Mytilus edulis: one gene and its partner. The protein of the gene in region 2 purifies or fractionates together with the protein of the main gene of each other region. This does not show direct contact. Links are inferred from orthologs where the notes say so. Each region holds a gene or a part of one and is shown on either strand. Other genes may lie near its edges.

Region 1 (7,852 bases), on a different chromosome or scaffold from region 2:
TAAATAGCAATAAATTTAACTAAACTTTAAAGTACAATCCATTGAATATATTATATGTTTAAAATACTATCCACATTAAATGTGAATTTAAAAAAGGGTACAAAAGTTCACATAAAACTTGTAAACATTGCCTCCCACTATGTCTACCATCAAGTGAAAATATCTTCAAGTCTATAGAAACCAAAAAATTAAACTATAAATTTTGATCGTTGTTTATTATCTAGCTGTTAGATTGTTTTTGTGAGTGCACTCTCAGTGCACACATCATATCTATGCTTACATTTAACAAGATTTCCTGATAAGACAAATTATGGGCGTGTGATTATTTACATAATATGGAAGGAACCAGTCAATTACAGTCCTTGTGTATATATCTCATCATTTAAGTACTCTCTCTACTTTGGAAGTACTTCATCTCACTATGATAAAATCTATCATGGGAAATTTTAATTGTTCTTTTTCCTGTGAATATATTTTTTATAAAGTAACTGTTATTAGAAAAAACTAAAATGAATGATGAGAAACACAATATTCTTATTGATTTTGTTGATAACCTATATTTTCTTTTTGATAAATGATTAATTTTGTATAAGAAATATTTCCCTAATTTTATCTAAAAATTTCACAAATAATATTTAGCTATTAGTTAATCATATTTATCCACAACTCTTAGATGTACATCACTATAACTACAATGCATGCTATATAGTTAACCAAACTTCAGCTTTGTAGCTTTTAAATTACAGTATTTGGGATGGATATTTGGATAAATAATCTAGGACTCAATAAATAAGATTATTTTTTGTTATGTTTATCTATTCAATTTTGGTGTAGTAATTAAGAACATAGTGTTCTTTATCAATATATTACTGGTAAATCCTCTCTAACATTAATTTCTTCAACCTTTTGATTGAGTCACATGCTCATGAACATTAAGGAAATACATTGTACCATTAAGGGAAGTGTAGACTTAAGGAGAAATGCAACATACACCATTTATGAAACAATAGAAAGTCCTGAAATAAATCAAATTTCATAAAATCATAAGAATGAAAACAGGAAATCTGATAATGAATCTGTATTCTGAATCATTCTGTTTATCTAATTATAGATTTGTTACTAATAAAATACAGTAGTTTTTATCAGATCTTGACAAGATACTGGTGTGTTACAATAAAAACAAATGTTTATGAAAAATAGACATCTGTCTACTCCATCTAAATCTAATATAATGGAAACGTAATTAATATGTAAACAAAAAACTGAACATAACTTCAATTCATGTTTGACCATGATAGTACATACAGTTGTACTATATCACCATAGGTTTCTTACTACTGTACAATGTACATGTACAAATGTATCTAAAAAATAAACTCAAAATGTATGCAAAATCTAGAATATTTCAATGAAGCTTAATATACAAATGTACAGGTCATACATTGTAGTGACCTATCTTTTAATATACACCCCTTTTTTACACTTCCCTTCAGTCATTAATTCACATATAAATGCAAATTCACTTTAGAAGATTGAAAATTTATCTGTATATCAAACAAACATTTAGCAGTATATATTTAAGGCCAGTTGATTGATCTTCATAATCATTGATTTCTAGCTCTTAATTCTGGGTTCTCCAGGACTCATGAAAATCTGTCTACACTCATAAACATGCTGAATTGTATGCGAGAAATTTCATAATTTTTCTTTATTTCAAAGATGTATTCAAGTTATGATGTATATATATGCAAAAGATTTCAAGAATTTTAAGAGTCAGTCCTGGTATGCATTACATTTAATAATATCTTAACCTAAAATTCATTTTCTTGAAAAATCAGGCAAAAAAAACAAACTGTTATATAAATTCAATATAATTATCTGCCATTGATTGTAAACTATTTTTTCCGAAAATTTTTAATACAATATACATTTATTGACACTTAATTTTTATAATAGTGTAATACTTATATTTACTTTAAGTATTTGATGTTCTTATTTTTTTTTAATGAAACTTGACTGAAATATTTTTAGACCAAAAAAAGTATTTTTGCGACATGACATTGAGCCAAAGGAATGCTCAGGATAAGACATCTGATCTACCATGAGCACATATGTACATATACTCATTCAATACCACATCATATGCACATTGACAGATAGAGTATTGGACAAAAAACATAATTATTCATAAAAATAAGGCGAAAACTTTAATCTTATGAAAATGGTTTGTGTTTTGTGGGGTGAGTCAACTTTTAATTTGTAAACATAATTTTTATTAAATTTAATACCTGTATTTTTAACTCAGGACTGTCATCACTTTAATTTTTATAAACAATATTAGGTTTGAGTTAATTACTGAGAGTAAAACAAAACACACTAAAATCTGGTTTTGAAGTTCAATTAGATTTCACTATAATCTTTTCAGAGTCCTAGCTACATGTGTATATATGGTATAGTAATTTCTGATGAGTTTTCTATTGGCCTTTAGCAGCTAAATTAGCTTTACTGCAGTTGAGTAATTATAGTAAATGATATTTGACTGCTAGACTATGCAGTGTGAATGAATAAAATAAAATATTGTAAGGTACCACATCAAAAGTTCAATGTAGGATAAAACACTTTTAAATTCATATAGTTTTTTCACTGACCCCCCTCCCCCTACCCTTCTCTTAACTTAATTTGTAAAAATTGATTAAACAATAAGGATATATATATGTAAAATCAATGTCAATTAAACAAAACTTGCAGCAATTTTGACCCCACCCCCAAACTATTTGAATTATGTTTTTTATCCTTCATTGATCTTTTGATGTCATCCCTAATTGAACGCATTTCTGAAATTTTATAAGGTTGTTAAATTCTTGACAGCAACACATTTTGTTGAAGCACACAAAAGCTTGAAACTAAAAAAAAATCTGCATGGTCATTTCTACATGTACACTTTGATTGTATTTTGAACTTCAAGACATTGTTCCTAATACCCTTTGAAATGAATTTCAAAAAATTTGTACATGAGAGCACTCACAAAACTGACACACCCACATGATGGATGGAGGGAAGCCTAGGGCTGTATGCCCCTATGTTTCTGGTTACAATTAATAAAACCCAATAACTCGGAAATGTAAAATGTAAAATCTATAAAAACCAAAAGGGAGCTTACGTCAACAGATATATATTAACTATCAAAGTTTCATGAGAACTGCTGCAAAGCATTTTTTAGTTATTATCTGGAAAATCCCCCCTTTTTTAATTAATAAAACCCTGTAAACTGAAAAATCCCCCTTTTTGGATGAATAAACCCCACAACTCGGAAGCGTAAAATCTAAAATTTATAAAAAAAAAAAAAAAAGGGAGATTACGTCAATATATATAAACAATTCACCAAAGTTTTATTCAAATTGGTTGAAGCGTTTTTGAGTTAATGTCCGACATGTTGTAACAGACAGACAGACAACAATATGCTATAATTCACCAATTCATATATTATACATTTCGTAATTTTCCATTGGTTTGGTTGTATAAATATAAACAGATATGTTACATTTTAGCCATTGTGAATACTTCTGATAAAAATTCAGATCACAGTCTGTGTCAGTGAATTTAAAAGACCACTTTTGAGTATGTCTGTCACCGTGAAAAACTTGTCAATTATGCGCGCTTTTATGACGTCATTTACCAGATAAAGGGGACAACCTGTATCTCTGCACTATAAACATACATCAAGTATCTTAGTGATCTTCATTGTGCAGGATATATATATAATCACTATTCACTAAGGACAGCAGTGCTGAAAGACAATTATGAGAGTTCAATTTGCAGAATAATTCGTGCAATATACCGGGTAGCTTTGTAGTTGTCCAACCACTCGCTCAACATTGGAACAGAAGTGAAGAAGCCCCTAAACGCATGAATGATGTTTACTAAAACCAAAAATTTGACAGAAATGCATTGAACTGTGGTCTATTATTTCAATTCACATTTCTCAAAATTTGATTGTTTGAAACTTTATTTTTTAGAAATGAAATAAGTTCTAGGGTCTGGGTTTAAACTAATTATAATAATAATAATAATTCTTTATTTAAAGAGGTTTACACAGTTAGCTAGGGTAACTGGATCCACATATATAGTTTTATTAGACCTAACTGATAACGCCTGCACCATATGATTATCAATAGACAATTTTCAAGTTAAATGTATGCCCTTATCCGGAAATGTTCGATAATCATAAGCACCTTTATGACGTCATTTACCAGGGGGATTGCCTGTATCCCTACCCTTATAGAGTTCATCAAGCATCTTCATGATCGTCATTTTTCAGGATACACTAGAAATAATGGTTGTTTTGAAGGTACTTTATCACAATTCCCTAATGACAGCAGTGCTAATTGTGAATTATAAGAATTCAATTTGCCAAATAATTCGCCTAATTTTTTCTAAAGCTCACATGGGAACATGTCTGTTTTAAATACTGATCTTCGCTTATTCTTTATTTTATAGCATGGCACATTACAGATACAGATAGATCTAGGCTATAATTTCAGTGTTAAGAATGGTAAAAATAAATAATTGTCATTTTATTTATAATCTAACTCACCTTCCTAAATTTTGATCAGCGAGTTGTTTCGCTCTCATAAAATTCTTGCGAAGATTCTCTGGCTTAAACATTTTGATAGTACTAATGCCTAAGCATTTAGGGATAAAATATAACTAATTTATGTAGGGTTCATGATTGCAGTCCGTCAATGTTGTGTAGGAAATTGATTCTGCAATATACTTCCGGGAGAAATATTTTGTAAAAACTGTTTTGATTGGTTTAAACTTTTTCAATTGACTAATCAGTGTTAGTCTATTATTTATCGTTGGATGTAAACAGAAGATGGCAGACCTCGTGGAAAAAGTTTTGAGAGAAGCAGCTGAAAAGGAATCAAAGTTTAAAACTATAGAAGTTGAAAAAGAGATTGATGTCATTATAGATGAAGGAAATCTCCTTGTGTGTGACACAAATCCTATTGATTTTAAATTACAAAAGTAAGAGGACCTCCATAATTTTCAAAAGTAACTCAGTAACACTAACACTTACATGCATGAACAGACTAACTTGTTCTTGTATCATGTTTATATTCTATGGTCAAAAGTCGGAGTGTCTTTTTACGACAGAACACCACAGAATACCACAGAACATAAAAACAAACAACAAAACAACTTAAATATGCAACATAACATTAAAATAACTTAACAAAATGCATGAACTAATATTAATTAGACGGTAAATCTAAATTTCATCACCGATTGCAAACCGCATATTAGTCCGAGATTACTCTGACATATAACGGCTGTTTTGGCAGACAAGCTGGGGCCGTGGGACGTCAGAGCTCGTCTCATATCAAAAAGTGGATATTTGCCCACCCAAAATAGATGCGGTACCTCGAATGACTGAATAACACTGTTAATATCCGAATAACACTTGTAATGACCGAATAACACTTGAAATTTTAATATTAGCAACATATTTGTGACTTTTAAACATTGATTATTAAATATTAGTACATTATCGATGTATTTTGTTACTTAAAAATGATTTATAGAAAGCAGAAAAGTTCTCAAAAAACTTTTAAAATTTAGTGTGTACATCCAATATGGTGACCACGGAAATCACAATGGCCGCCATGATCGATGTACACACGAAATTAAAAATTATCTTTATGCACTTATCTGCTGTCTGTAAATCATTTTAAAGTTATAAAATACATCGATAATATATTATCATTAAATAATCAATGTTTAAAAGTCACCAATATGTTCTTATATTAAAATTTTAAGTGTTATTCGGTCATTACATGTGTTATTCGGTCATTGTGTTACCCAAATAGATGCGCTACTTCGTCGCTTCTGGTGCAGACTGGTGGCCTTGGAATTATATAAAACGGGCATCAATCAATCTGTTCATTTTTCATTTATCTCTTCATTTATGTAAGTTTCACCTACCTGCCACCCTTTATTTTCTCATATTTAGACAGATTTCACAGTAGAAGTTCTATATGGGCTTATGATGTCGTTCTTGTATAACCAGTGATTTCAACAAATAAACACAATGTTTGATTAATATCTTTATTAAAACATGCCCTTTTCATATTATGATATCATATCACTTGTTAAATGCCCTTTTTCAGGATTGGAACCCTGCCCTTTTAAAATCCTAGCTGGAACACTACCTATGATCTACCTTAAGTCTTCTGCCACATGCATTGATGTCACCAATACTTGAAACTAATCTTCAACACCTGGCGTAATCACCAATTAGCCAAGAATTAAGGTTCATCATAACCTTTTGGCTAAAATGGCTGTATTTACACCACAAATTTTACTCTGAGTATAGACACACCTGTGCACCTAAGTCATGGCTGGACCTAGATAATTAAATTTTAAATGCATTTTTATGGTTCAGAAAATTATAAACTTTTCTGGATTTTGCTCTTCATTCTTTTTTCATTCCTGCAGCAGGTGCAAAAATAAACTAAGTTGGTAAAAAGTTTGAGAAACTCCCCTCATATAATCGATGTTGTGAGTAGTATTGATTTAAATGGACAATATATTGACGATAGACACCTGTAAACAATGTAACTTTTATATATCTAGGCCCTGCCATGCCTGAAAACTTTCTTAGATGCATCAGTTTGTCTGTATTTTGATGAACCTTAAATAATTTAAAAAAAGTTTTAAAGCCAATTATATTGAGTGTGTAGGTAGAGGTAATATCTTGTCTATCTTCATCAAGAGTTCTCATGTCACTCAGGTGTGTCGATCTACCTGTACAAGTAATAAGTGATCTTTAGTTGATATCCCTCAGGGCTTGGAAAATGTAATCAGGAGTACCCTTTGGATTATAATACAATACGCCTACAGATTAATTATTCATAATTGCTAACAAAAATGGCAGTGGGTAGAAAAACAAAAACTAATTTTGACAATGAGGCAGGGGTGTGGAAATATTTGTTGTGAGCACTTGTCCCAGGGCAAGTGAAACCTAAAATTTTACTTGTCCGTAAAAAAATTTACTTGCCCTGATGATCCCAATAAATATTGAAGTATTTCTTGTTAGCTAATATATGATTCTAACTTAGACTAGCACTGTTGTGCATCACAAACAAATGAAATCTATTTGTTTATATGCATGTGTAAAAAATTAGGAAAGTAGGAAATGGGTTAACATCAATAGGACAGCCTGAAACCTAACAGCAAACCAACCAATGAAATGACATGTAAAGGACAATATTACAGCAGTTTTTGAATAAAAATTGTAGCCAGTAGGTACATATACTAAATTTGAGGACAGTGATTGAAGAAATGTAAACTAAATAATAGATAAACTATTAATTTTGTAGTGTTTCTCTCAACTGACACACTTGTTTTTTTCTTGATTATTTATTATTGTCTTGATGGGCAATTAAAGCGTCCCTTCTTTTACCACTTTGACAACAAATAATGTTGATCTTTCATCTATAAATAAGACAAAAACTTAATTTTTTCCCCAAATTTCCATAGCCAGGGGCAATCTGATATCCACGATGTCTGAAATTCTCGCTTCCATTTTTTTTTAAAATAATCTGTGTCCTCCATTTACATTTAAGGTTTTCTACTCGACTTATAACTCTTTTTGTCTTGCTTGCCCACCTTTTTATTAAGTATTTATAAATCAATCTGAATCTCGATACAAAAGGAGTAGGTCCGGTAAGGACCGAATTTGGCCTCAAATTTCATGTTCATCTGACGAAAGATTTTGACCACTTTTTAAACACTTAAGTGTCTATTTTATTTGAATTAATTAGTTTATGTGAAAGATTTTAACAGATTT
Region 2 (7,511 bases):
TCTCGCATTTATCTAAACTGGGGAAATCCCTCTGACGTGTTTCTAAATTTATAAAAACACTAAATATTAATACTGCTCAATTTTGATTTTCCGTGTTGTTAAAAACACGCATATAAGTCAAGGGAAATATTAAACATGAAGATTATGAGAAGAACATTACAGGAAAGTTGTTTATGTTCATTTTTTTGCTTCTTTTTACCATTTAAAGCAAGACAATCATAAGAATCTGAGATGTTGCTGAATGTTTAGAATAAAACGGTTGACGTGAGGGAATGAGCCCTGAGTCAACTGTAAAAGTCTACAGATTGCTTGAAAGCAATCGTATCCCAAAAATAGAAAAGGTAAAAACATTAATTTGTTTTGTATAATAAAAAAGAACAAAGAAGGTTAAACTATTTAACTTAGATGTATAAATTTATGCTGAAATATGTAAACTTTAAAGAACTGAAAAATACATCATAAATTTGGCAAAATTTCTAATGTTTACCTTCTGAAACACTATTAATGTTGTCCAATGCATTGGTACCACTTTTGAATGGTGAGAAAGCCACTAGTTTGACAACAGACTGGAACTTGCTGAGATCTGTTACACATTTCTCTACCTGACTCTGTAATACTGATACCTCTTCAAATTCTTTCACTCTGAACAGAGCATACCCTGACGCATGTTCATACAAAATAAACAATACTTGAGCCTGAAAAGATAAAACTTTTTACAATAATTTATTATTTATACTACATTAATACATGTAATAGTCAGGATTTTAAATGATTTTCATATGTCCATCTTATATATATATCTAAAAATTTTGTAAGATGTTCTGTGATTGCTGTTGTCCAAGTTTCATAAGTTTCCATGAAAGTTTACTAATTAACTTGCCAAATACATTTAATCTCAGACTGTCTATGAATATTTACTGTAAAAAACTAAGTCCATCTACCTAAAAACTATATTCTTAAAAGTTTGCTTTGGATACTATCTCTAAATCATTAAAAATCTTCTGCCAGTTTTATTGAACATTACACAAAGTAATTGATGTGCAACAAACACTCTAGACTGTACATTGTATCTACTTGATAAAGTCGTATGAGCCGCAAAATTAAACTAAATTGATGCACATGTTTTTTTATAACTAAATGGATAGTTTTCATTATATAAATTTTGCTCTGATTTAAACTGTATTTTTGTTATACACTAGCTTCTGTCCAGATTTCAAGATGACATGAAAGTAAGACAATGTAATTCAACTTCGACTTCATTACTCGTCAAAATCCATACAGGACATATAATAATGAGGATGTCTTACAAAAACTTGAACCACAGACTGAACCTAAATGTTGATTCCACTGATGACAGAATTAAGATTGGCTATATTTGGTGATATCAGGTTTGTTTGAGCCCAGTACTTTCACACCCTACACGTTTGCGTCCAAGGTACATCTGCCCCTACATGTTCACACCCAATTTTTAATATTTTCCAGTTGAATAGTTAAAATTTATATGTATATTTACACCATAAAACAAAAGTTTCCTGAATAAAATTGGTGAATTACTATATATGAAATGTCGTTTTTATTAATTTGAAGATTACCTATTAAATTTTACTTATGTATAATAATTGCTAATTGGTATTTATACACAGCTATTGTATGTTTAATAATCATGATGAATTGTTGTTTGAACTTGCTTTGATGTAAAAAACAAAAACAAAAACATCAAAAACTAGATGTTGACATAATGTCACTCTATTTAGAACCAATGATTTTTTTTTTTTTTTTTATTAATTTTACAGCAAAGCATACACTAACCAAAACACTATTTAAGATTTATTCAGCATTAAAAAAAAACCGCAAGAATCTCACTTTATTTTGAAACATAAAAAAAGCTACCAGTAACCAAAACTTGATTAAGATTTATTCAACACAAAAAAAAACCAGTGAGATTAGAGAACCACTTTTTATCTGAAACAATGAAGAAAAATATTTACATATTATATACACAAGTTAACCAAACTTGATTGATTACAAAATTATTAATCACAAACCAATAAAAAGGGTGCAAAGACTTAGGGCATGAACATGTGGGGTGCGAAAGTAAAAGAGTGTGAATGTCAATGTGAATGGGTGTGAATATGTATGTACATGCTGCAAGTAAGTGGTTCATGTATGGTGAGATACAAAGAAAAATAAATAAATAATGCAGGCTTTTTCAAAAATGATAGGTCTCCCACATTTAATATCAAAATTTTTTGTTTTCAATCAGGTTTGAACCAATCAAATATAAGGCAGCAACCATTTGATTTTCGGGGGGGGGGGGGGGGGGGGGCTATGGTTTTTTTTTCTGGACAAATTTTTTTTCGACAAGTCGAAAACAATTTTGTTCTTTCAATTTTATCATTACATATAGTGGCAGCTGAGGGTGAAACAAACATTTTTTTTTTCTCAGAATCAAAAACAAATTATTTTTTTCTCCAAAAACTGGAAACAAACTTTTTTTTCCACAAAAAACCATAGCCCCCCATGAAAAATCAAATGGTTGCTGCCTAAGGGAACGACCAGAACCAAATCAAATTGGTGACAGCCAACCCCCCTCCAACCCCTCAATTAAATATATATTTTTTTTCGCTATGTCAATGTACAGAAACACTCCAACAGTATACATCTATAACGCGTCAGTGAAAAACAACCATATCGTACATGTATACCAGCTGATGGTATGCTTTTAAACTGCGCTCAAAATAAATCAGACCACATGTCCAGTCGGCATGTGCTGATAATTTCAATAAATCTATGGAAAATAGCACAGTCTAAGCATTGACATTTTGGAATCGAAGATTGCCTATGCAAAGTTTTGTACTTAAACATGTTATGTATAAAATAAGATAATTAGATTTGTGCATGTACTCAAAAAGTTAAAAGCCACGTGCTCACCATCTTTACAAACAATTTTCGCCATTCACTAAGAATAGTCCTTATCTTAAATGATTTTTCATTGGTTCTTTTCACACAGATCTCAGGAAATGGCCAATAAGGAGAGGTCTTACAAACCCTGTGATAGGCGGAAGTTTACAATGGCGTCTGCATTTAAAAAGTCAGTTACAAAATGCAACTTTTCCGTGTTTTAAGGTTAAACAACAGTCGTAAGGTTGGTTATGGGGTAAAACATAAAACAAGAATGACCAGATTAATGAATAGCAATACCACAAAATTCTAATAATAAGGAGATATGCATGAACTATTCATCAGACTAAAGAGAAGAGTGCTGATTTTCTAAATTTTAATTTTTACTTAGAACATCATCATGTAGATGTAATCAGCTAACAGTATATTTCAATATATATATACCTGATGTAATAAAAAATAAGAAACGAATTGAAGTACCGCACAACCTTAATCACAGGAATTAAAGTTATACCTTAAAACTATAAAAAGTTCTGCTATCCCAATGGAGTGCTCAAATTCGCATACAAATTCGGCCCAAACACCTTATCGCTATTTGTCTGTCATTACTGGAGATCACACAGGTTTCTGTAAAATTTTGATGTCCTAAAACAAAATATCTGACGCCGCAATCATGGCAATGGAAAAGTGATTGTTGTATGCGTCAAAAGTTCAAGTGGCCGGGTCAGCGGGTTTTAGCGATAAGGTGTTTTAATTTGACACCCCTTGGTATGGTCATCACTATCTCTAGCTGCAGAACCGTAGCTCATAGGTCCTAAAAAAGTAAAAAAATAGCATAAGTACTAGTCCAAATAATTATGACCTCTTGAAAGGCTATTATAAGACGTCATAATTATTTGGACTACATAAGTACCTATGAGCTAGCATCAGGTCTGTTTAACAGCTTGTGACAAGTTTGATAGCTGTTAGGAAACTTCTGTCTTTCTGTTACAAGTCTTAGAGTTGAATGACTTAATTATATAAAATCAGCTCATCATGACATTATTCATGATTCACAGGGTGTGAACATGTCAGGTGAGAATGTGAAAGAGAACATGCATTTGGGTGAACAGACTCAGGTTCGATAACAGATTGGGAACAAAACCCCCTATATCAAACTTAAGAACATAAGTAATCTGATCTTAATAATATTGCACTTGTTTTGCAAGGAAGATGTCATGCTGATACTCGCAAATGCAAACTTGAATGGGCTTTGCTCATTGTTGAAGGCTGTATGGTGACCTATAGTTGTTAATTTCTGTGTCATTTTGGTCTCTTGTGGAGAGTTGTCTCATTGGCAATCATAGCACATCTTCTTTTTTTATATTGAATACTTACATGTACCTTGAAGTGAATTTATTCACCTGTCACAATAATGAAAGAGGGACGAAATATACCAGAGGGACAGTCAAACTCATAAATTGAAAATAAACTGACAACACTTGGCTAAAATTGAAAGAAGACTAACAGACAAACAATAAAACACATGACATAACATAGAAAACTAAAGAATAAGCGACATGAACGCCACCAAAAACTAGAGGTGATCTAAGGTGCTCTGGAAGGGTAAGCAGATGTGTCCACATGTGGCACCTGTCGTGTTGCTTATGTTTTAAAAAATCCGGTAATTTAGCCTAATTCGGTAGGTCATATTCATGAAAGGGATGAGGATTGTAGTTAGGACTTACATGACTTAAAGAACATATCCGATATCATTTGTGAAACCGTTATTCCATAACGGTCAACCAACGTGTGATGGCTTTCATAAAATTTACGAAGGGATGATTTCAACTTCACCATTTGGAACTCGTGGTTTAAAAGCTTCCTTGTAGCAGCAACCCTCTATCAAGGAAATCATGATGGGAAATGCAATGCAATAAACCATCGTAAACTAACCATCATACCTTAGTAAAATATTGATCTATATGTATATTTCAATCATTCTACCAAACAAAAATTACACAAGATAGAGAAGACTATTAGGGGAGGAATATATTTATGTCTAGAAACAGACATGAACAAATTGTAGCTACATATACCATGAATTATGCAATTATATCTACCATTAAAAAAAAATATGCTATAAATCATAATATGAATGATTAAGATTGTTGTTCATAATTTACATTAGTATGGTTTATAAATAAAATATAATTGATGCATTTATAAGTTAATATTTGTTTCAGTTCAATGGAAACTTGTGAAACCTCATCAGAGATAAAGGAACAATGTGAAGGAAAATTGTGCTGTGTTTTGTGTGCTAAAAATGAAGAACATATAGTGAATGAAGAAAAGATATCACTTCATTGTCTCCCAGGGACTGATGATGACAGAAGTGAAGTATGGTTAGGGAAAATAAAACAAGCAAAACCAGATGTTCTCATAACCGACCATACAAGACTATGCAACTTACATTTTGAAGACAATATTTGTGATAATGATTCAGTACCCACTATACTTTGTGTAGATTCAATTGAACAAAAAGACAATGCAAAGGATGAAAAGGTTGATGAAAATTTAAATACTACAGAGGTAAAGTATGGACATTTAATATAAGCTTATCTTAGCTGTTTAAATATAACTTCTTTTTTCTTTAACTTACATGTACCTTGGATAGGAACAATTGCAATAGAATAACAAAATATTTCATCTGTTTTCTGCGCTTTGGTAGGGTTGTTGTCACTTTGATATATTCTTCATTTCCATTCTCAATTTTATTCATTTTAAGTAAATAGTTTACATGAGTCATGAGATCTCTTGGCAATATTTTTGTTGAACTAGAATTTTTTTTGCACTGTTATGAACATGTTAAACTTTAATTATCAATTAACAAATGATTAATAATTCATTAGATGTGTCATAATAAACAATTTGGAAATTAGTATGGCGTTCATTATCACTGAACTAGTATATATTTGTTTAGGGGCCAGTTGAAGGACGCCTCCGGGTGCGGGAATTTCTCACTACATTGAAGACCTGTTGGTGACCTTCTGCTGTTGTTTTTTTTCTATGGTCAGGTTGTTGTCTCTTTGGCACATTCCCCATTTCCATTCTCAATTTTATTGAATACGATGTGTTTTTTAAGAAGATAAACAGTATAAATCTTAGTATATAGACTGGATATTATAAAAGTTGTTAATGTGAATTTTTCAGAGCAATCTCAACAATGAAGACACAGAACAACCATCTTGTAGTACAGTCCTTAACAACAGCCAGTCGGAGGAAAAACCAGAAACAAAATTATCTTTGAAAGAACAGGTGGTTAAATCATAATTTTTGTTGTTGATATAGTCAGATTTACCATATAAAATTTGGTTTCAGTAATATGTTGTAATATTGTTAAAGAACTATTTTTATGCCTTGGCCATAGTAGAGGGGGCATTAAGTTGAACCCTTGTCCGTATTTCATCGTCCTGAAATTGATTTACGTTCTCTAACTTTAGTTTGCCTCAACCAAATGTTATGATACTTATACACAATGCTTATTACGACAAAACACATATCAAATTTGAATTTTGTTTGTGTCAGTTTAAATTTCTAGTGTTATGCTCTTTTACAAATTAAAAACTGCTGAATATTTCGTTTCGGCTCTCTCACTTTAGTTTGCCTCAACCAAATGATTATGAATCTTTTACACAATGATTATTACCAAAAAACACAGATCAAGTTTGAATTTTGCTGGCGTCACTTTTACCCTTCTAGAGTTATGTCCCAAAAAATTAAAAACTGCTGAATTTTTTCATTTCGGTTCTCTTACTTAATTTTGCCTCAACCAAATGTTATTAAACTTGTACACAATCCTTATTACCACAAATATCAGATCAAGTAAGAATTTTGTTGGGTCACTTTTATCGTTCTGGAGTTATTTCTTTATGATTAGGTCAGTTTGAGATAAAACATTTAATTGAAGTCAATGATATCTTGTATGAAATTGTTTAAGCATTTACAACTTCTCATTTTCATAGAGATTATTTTGTATCTAAAGTGAGACATAACATGATTGTTACAATAAATTAATACTATGGATGCTCAATTAGATATTTGAAATTTTTATCATAACTTTTATTTTTAGCTAGCTCAAATTCCAGTATGTCCAAGTTTAAGTAAGGAACCAGTGAGTGTGAGATTGTGTGCTATAAATACTTACATCACATGTGCCTTGTGTGGTGGATACCTGTATGAAGCTTCAACCATTACAGAATGCATGCATACGTGTAAGCTCATTTATGTTTATTACTTATCTATTTAAATGATGTGTATTTTTTAATTGATGATTACATTCAAATCATTTTTAAACTTTCTATAACATGCATCTGATCATCAGTGAACATTTTCTTTAGGTCACCATTTTCTAAAAGATCAACAGTTTGATAAATTTTGTTTCTTTATTATGAGTTCTTTTTCTGTTTTAACCATTGAACACCATGAAAAATAAAAAAAAGTTGTGTAATGATTGTTAATGAGACAACTATCCACCAGAATGGCAGAGATCAAATAACTGAGATTCAAGCAACTAATTGTCATTTTCCACTTTCAAAGAACAAGCAAAACCAATAATGTATAGTAAGCTA

The links.
Region 1: the proteins of nucleolar protein 56-like (region 2) and ribosome biogenesis regulatory protein homolog purify together in Homo sapiens (co-immunoprecipitation; 3 studies listed by BioGRID and IntAct, with this or other methods). This does not show direct contact. The link is inferred for Mytilus edulis from reciprocal best matches to the Homo sapiens genes NOP56 and RRS1.

Annotation. Positions count from the first base shown.
Region 1 is NC_092352.1:17,452,376-17,460,227, forward strand, and holds the start of ribosome biogenesis regulatory protein homolog, read left to right. Parts: upstream 1-4,837; 5' UTR 4,838-4,876; coding exon 4,877-5,028; intron 5,029-7,852. Other genes in the region: rho GTPase-activating protein 44-like, read right to left, coding at 4,595-4,665. UniProt on the Homo sapiens protein: Involved in ribosomal large subunit assembly. May regulate the localization of the 5S RNP/5S ribonucleoprotein particle to the nucleolus.
Region 2 is NC_092347.1:5,497,064-5,504,574, reverse strand, and holds the start of nucleolar protein 56-like, read right to left. Parts: upstream 3,029-7,511; 5' UTR 2,935-3,028; coding exon 2,932-2,934; intron 696-2,931; coding exon 488-695; intron 1-487. Other genes in the region: polycomb group RING finger protein 1-like, read left to right, coding at 5,131-5,472, 6,094-6,198, 7,013-7,154. UniProt on the Homo sapiens protein: Involved in the early to middle stages of 60S ribosomal subunit biogenesis. Required for the biogenesis of box C/D snoRNAs such U3, U8 and U14 snoRNAs. Part of the small subunit (SSU) processome, first precursor of the small eukaryotic ribosomal subunit.